Linked DNA regions of Kluyveromyces lactis. The protein of the gene in region 2 purifies or fractionates together with the protein of the main gene of each other region. This does not show direct contact. Links are inferred from orthologs where the notes say so. Each region holds a gene or a part of one and is shown on either strand. Other genes may lie near its edges.

What was found. The genes of interacting proteins can lie anywhere in the genome.
Region 1: the proteins of RET2 (region 2) and SEC28 purify together in Saccharomyces cerevisiae (affinity purification with mass spectrometry; 6 studies listed by BioGRID). This does not show direct contact. The link is inferred for Kluyveromyces lactis from reciprocal best matches to the Saccharomyces cerevisiae genes RET2 and SEC28.

What each region holds. Positions count from the first base shown.
Region 1 is NC_006039.1:798,525-801,218, forward strand, and holds SEC28 (coatomer subunit epsilon), read left to right. Parts: upstream 1-1,295; coding exon 1,296-2,177; downstream 2,178-2,694. Other genes in the region: ARE2 (sterol acyltransferase), read right to left, coding at 1-685; GET complex subunit GET2, read left to right, coding at 2,488-2,694. UniProt on the Saccharomyces cerevisiae protein: The coatomer is a cytosolic protein complex that binds to dilysine motifs and reversibly associates with Golgi non-clathrin-coated vesicles, which further mediate biosynthetic protein transport from the ER, via the Golgi up to the trans Golgi network.
Region 2 is NC_006040.1:975,841-979,399, forward strand, and holds RET2 (coatomer subunit delta), read right to left. Parts: upstream 2,179-3,559; coding exon 568-2,178; downstream 1-567. Other genes in the region: proteasome regulatory particle lid subunit RPN12, read right to left, coding at 1-163; ZIP2 (Zip2p), read right to left, coding at 2,482-3,559. UniProt on the Saccharomyces cerevisiae protein: The coatomer is a cytosolic protein complex that binds to dilysine motifs and reversibly associates with Golgi non-clathrin-coated vesicles, which further mediate biosynthetic protein transport from the ER, via the Golgi up to the trans Golgi network.

The sequences.
Region 1 (2,694 bases), on a different chromosome or scaffold from region 2:
TAGTCAGGTACATTGCGATATCATATAACGCAACTTTCCAAAGATTCATGGTCATGTATCGCAAGATAATTGACTGTGAAAAATCACCATGTTCCTCGTAATATTGTAATGTCACTTTGCAGATGGTGAACGCAACTGCCATCCAAAATAAGACATAGAATCCAGAAAAGTCTGTTGCTATAGTTTCATTTGCAATTTCAATAGTATTATTGTCATCTATCCTCACCGTATTTGATCTGGCTGTTGCCTTTACTCTAGAATATTTCTCGTCTATTGCTGGCCCATTGAAATGAGATCTAAGCGGATTGTTGACCATCTCATCCATGATACTACCTCTAGAGCCCCAGTCTACATCTCGTGTCATGGACTGCATTTCATTCGTATCCTTCTTATATCTGTTCTTTTCCTTCACCTTCAATTTCTGCATGAAAACATGCAGATGTTTGTCGCCTTGTTCGGAGGTGGTTCTAGTCTTAAAGATAACCGTGTCGTTAGGCTGGACCGTGTTGAAAAGAACGTCCGGAGATCCAAGTTCATCGAGAACAGCATCCTCCAACTGTTCCTCATGCAAAGACTTCCTCTTCCCATGGTTGTTGTCGTTCAGCCTTCTTATCCTCAAGAACTGCTCATCCTCAGTTATATCCTTAACGGTGGTATCATGTGAACTGTCACTTGAACCGGACATTATGACAGGTTTTTAATTAAAGATCCAGTTAAATAAATCTTTTATGATATATTAACGTGGATTGACTCTTCACCATGAAATTAGTCTGAGATAAATCTAGGCCAAGTCGTGATTCGTCTTAAGAAGGAAAAAATTCTTGCTAACCTCTCTCTCTCACTCAGACGTTTTAAATATAAATCTCAAATCCGGAATTAACCAATGGTCGTAAGAAGTGTACTGTTAATTACTGAATCTGTTTCCTTTTCCAACCCGTATCGTTTAAACGTCCAAAGTAACTGGCTCTGAATTTCTTCTGATAAATACTCTCAATCCCTTAAATAAACGCCATATGGTGATCCACACCTTCGAGAATTATTCGAGAAAGGAAAAATACAAAAAAAAAGATCACGTGAATGAAAAACATCCATTACCCTGATCCTGTCAGTTTTTCAGTTTTGGACAATTCGCATGGTGGATCAAAGTAAGATAGCATATGGACTCTCAATATTAAAGGATACGTGTGAGATAGACCCGTTAATGAGCCAGTAAAGTCGCTTTCAATACACGATAACGGTTAATTGAAGTTTTCCGACGTCAGATTTGTTGAGAAAAAAATATCAACTCAGAAGAAATGGACTATTTTACTGTAAAACAGCAGTTTTATACTGGTAACTATGAAGAAGCGTTGAACGAAGTTTCTAAGTTTAACAAAACTGAAGATGAGGCGTTGACTTACTACAGAAATAGATCATTGATTGCATTGTCCCAGTTCAGTGAGGGTAGTGCTGATTCTGGCTCACTTGGGCCTGTATTTGAGGCTTACTATAAATTTTTAAGCAAACCTACAGGCTCAATCACTGCACTAGAACAAACCGTTGAAAAGGCGGGCAGATCTCCATTTGCATTGAACTTATTAGCAAGTGCATTGACTATAAAGGGCGAGTTTAAAACTGCTTTGGAGGTTGCCGTTGAAGGAATTGACTCCGATGAAACAAGAGGAACCCCGGAACTACTGTTAACGGCCATCCAAATAACTTTGTTGGATAATCAACCAACCATTGCCTCGACTATGTTTGAAAATTTCCAAGCACTTCAGGAGCAATCGAACGACGATGAAATAATTTTGAATCTTGCAGAGTCATACATCAACTTCAACCAGGGTAAAGAGATCACTGGATCCAATTTCTATTTCTTTGAAGAGTTGTCTCAAACTTTCCCAAGTTGGAAGACTCAATTAGGCCTATTGAATTTACACCTCCAACAATCGCATTTGCCTGAATCCAAAGCAATCATCGACCTCTTAGAAAGCGAGTTCTACGATATCAAACAAGAAGCACAAACGTACAAGCCTGATCTACTTGCAAATAAGATTACGTACACCATCTTATCTGGTGGAAATGCAAACGAATTGAGATCGGAATTGCAACAATTGAAACCATCTCACCCACTATGTGTTGCCGACCTTGAAAATAACAAGACTTTCGATCAAATTGTGGCAAAGTACACAGCCTAAATCTATATATATCAAATAGATCTTGAGTAGCAAATAGTATTGGTATTGGCGATACTTTCCGGGTAACATTGTTCTTTTTCCCATCAATTTCGTGGGAACTGTCAAGATAAAGCGGATTGATCAAACATCCTATACAATGTGAAGGGTTAGTTTTGAAACCAGTCACTCGGTATCGTTTTACAAGGCACCTGCGTTGTATTTAGTTCGAATATTCAGGGGAGTTGATCTTCTTATTTTGATTGTCGATCTAATTCTACTTTAGTTTCCCCCGAATTGAGCTGTAATTCACACAGAATTTGGAGTTTACAAGATGGCTACTGAATTGTCTGATGCTGAGAAACGTAAATTGTTGAGGGAAAGAAGGCAACAGAAGTTTTCCAACGGAGGTGCTTCCAGCAGGTTGAACAAGATCACTGGTCAACAGCAGAATAGCTTTTTGTCTTCAACATCTGTTCTTGATGAGCCAAAAGTTACTCCGTCAGGTAACAAGAAATCATCCAATGTGAGTGACGAAGAA
Region 2 (3,559 bases):
GTAGATAGCTTTGATTTTCCTTAGCGCTTTTGATATCAGGTATTAACAATTTTGCTTTAATCAATTCAATCTTGATAGGAAGTAGTAATCTCAAACATGTTTCATATTGTTTGCCCTCAAAGGCAGTCTTCAACCCCTTGGTTAGCTCTGGTAACGATGGCATCTTGGTTGCTGTCTATCTCTGTCCCTTTATTTCGGTGGCAAAACATATTCATGCAAGGTCTGAGTTAAGTTAATGTTGATATTTTCAATTTCACTGAATCTTGAATTTCTCATTACATAGTAGTAGATTTATAGGAACTTTGAACAAATGAAAGCAGGCAATGGGTAAGATAGGACACAAGATGCGCCGATCGTATTGCAATAGGTATTAACAGGCCATATCTAATCAATTGCATACGGATCAGATTACCATTTTTTCTTCAGTTTTCGGCTTTTTTTATTACTTTTGGTGGAGTTCACTGTACATTACTTCTTAAAAATACACAAACATGTATAGGATTACTTATATAGTAGCAGTATTTTCTGCTAGAGACACATGCTGCTGTTTAATACTGCAAAGTGCAATTACACTACGACATATTGTTCACTCTTCAAGGTAGATACGGTGTCGAATGGTAGTTCAGTGTCATCTGCGGCAGATACAACAGAAGCAATATTTAGGTTAGACAATGGTTTGGCATTGCTGTTCTTTAAAGCAACTTCGATAGGGAATAACGCATCTTCATAAGCAGCTTGGACAGTAACACTGAATACGCTTGACTGACCGGATTCAATTGGGTCCACCTTAATGATAATACCTTGGGACTCGTCAATGGCCTCTACGATTGCATTAGCCTCGTTTAGATCATCTTTGATGAATACAGTATCGGTGAAGACAGGAATCAAGAAGCGTAATTCATCGATAGTTCCTTCGTAATCACTGTTGACTTCATATTCAAAAGTAACATCAATGGCATTATCCGTTTCTGAAGATGGAGACAACCATGTTGAAATTTCTAATGGGATCAAATCATGTTCATCAGCACCCTTAACCTTACGCCATCTTAGCACACCCAAACTTTGATCATTGGATGGGAATGGTTTGTTAGGATCTCTTAGCCCGATCGTTTTGTTAGTTAAGAAACCAGCCTTGTCCACATTTGGATGGGTTTTGAATTGATACGTTTTGTCCTTGACATTGACGTCTGTACCGAGACATAGTTTGGCATGTGCAAGATCAGGGTTATTAACACGTAATTCTAACACACCCTTTAACTCTGAGCCCATGATAGCACCATCACGGGAAATTTCAGCGTTAATAGTTTCTTTTACGCTAATTAAAATACCATTGTTGATAGGCTTTTCTTCTTCAGGCAGAGTTGCTGTTTGAACTGATAATGATTGTCTTTCCACGTTCTTGATCGGTCTTTCAACGCCTCTTCTTGGCCCATTGACTTGCAAACCTTTACCACCCAAAGGCTCACGGTTTGCATACTGCTGTTGCTGTTGTTGCTGTGGTGCTAAATTCTGTTGTTGAATACCTTGATTAGATTGCGTGTGCATGTGTGACTGTTGAGCCGCGGATGAAGCATGGCTGTAGTAACTGTCATACGCCTTGTTCATAACACCACCATGGATACCGGTGAATTCCTGAGTGTCCGGAATACCCAATTTTCTTGCTTGTTCCTTTCTCGAAATCTCTTTTGCCCTACGCTTTCTTTCTTCCGCTGCTTCGAATTCCTTATTACGTTCAATAATTTCCTGTATTCTTTCCTCATGAGATTCCATTGCTAAGAAGGTCTTAATCTGAGTTAAAGATAGATTCTCCTTGTAGCCCATAGTAATGATTTCATCGAATGAGTTCAAGATATCGAACGCACTATCGAAAACATCTTCCTCACTTAGACCCTTCAGAGTAGAATCAACCGTTTGCACAAAAATGTTCAACGTGTCCATATCCTGGATTATATTGGAATGAAGATTCGTAATCAAAATAATATAGTAATCATCAAATGGCTTGTAAACATATCTGACATGTTCATCTTCAACAAAAGTGTGCTGCTTTGAGGAATTGGCAACTAAAGTCTGGAAATTCGACAACAATTCCATAACACGATCTTTCGTGATATCTCTGAATTGTCTAGACAATAAAGGCTTACCCTTACGAGTAGTGATAGAAACCGCTAGTACAACCATGATTATCAAGCCCTGTTCTCAATGTATCACGTCACAGGTTTCCTGGTGCCTGAATCAAAACTTTAACGAGACTATTATGCTTTCGGAATGATACAGCTTTGCCAGGTTCGTACATTTTTAACTATTTTCAAGTTTTCTATTTTGATATGTTTTGGTTCAGTTCCATTTTCGAAGGGAAAAAAAAGGTTCATCAAAATCAGGAAACCAATACTAGAAGAGTTCGTTCAATATGACTGGTTGAAATAGATCGTGAGTTTAGCTTGGATGGGTAAGGTTCATTCGAGCCGACGTATGAGAATGAATTTACTCTGACCAACTCATTGTCACAAAATCATCAATATGAGCTAGTTGGTATTCTGTGAGAAATTTGCCATATAGTAGGGCTCTTTTTCCATAACTTATTGATAAGAATTCTTCTAATGAGGTGAGTGACAGAATACTTTCAATTGCGATTGGATTGATGTCGAAATGTTGTAAGACCTCTTTGCTAAGGCTCATGCGATAAATTTGCTGTTCATTGGGCGTATTGGTACCACAATATAATGAAATCCACGTTGCTGTTAATTTGAGTTGTGTTTCCTCAACTAGATGAGTTGTTGTCCCACCGAGACAGTTTAATAAAAGTTGGGTCTTGTAAGCTAAGTTGGAATCTAACGCTAACGATCGTTCTGAGTACGATAAGAAGATTACCACTCTTTTATATTTACACTTCAATTCTTGTATTGCTCGGAGTAACGGGAAGCTGTCGACCTGTTTCTGATACACTGAAGTAATATTTCGAAGAATGAGACAGGTAGATGCGTCTAACAAGATATCCGAATGATCCCCCAAATCCATCTCAAGCACACAAAAGTTGTTCTGATGTAAGAAATTGATCAACTTGTAGTTTTTGGCAATATACTCTGCATTAAAAATGATTACTTTCTCTTCAGCATTATGGAAACTTTTATCGCTTAATTGGAAAGTGACATTGGACATTGTAGATTGCTCAACTGTCTCGTTCAGAGTAGCAACTGGGTTAACATCACCATTAGATATGGAGAGTCTCTTCAATTTGGACCGTTTGGCTGCTATTATGCTTACTAAATCTGCGTTTATGAAAGAGCGTTTCCCACTTGTCATTATCCTTTTGTTTGTCACTTCATCGACGTCAGTAGTTTCCTCATTTGCAAGAGAATCAATACACTGACTAGACTCTTGGACATTCTCTTTAGATTTTGGATCGAACTGATCATAACTGATAGCATTTACACTCCTGAAGCTAACGGGAATTTTGGATACCATCAAATCAATTTTGGAACTTGGAATTCTTTTGAAGACAAGCGCATAGGACGTACATCTAACTTGTACATCTCTTAATGATTCAAGTAGTTCCGAGTTT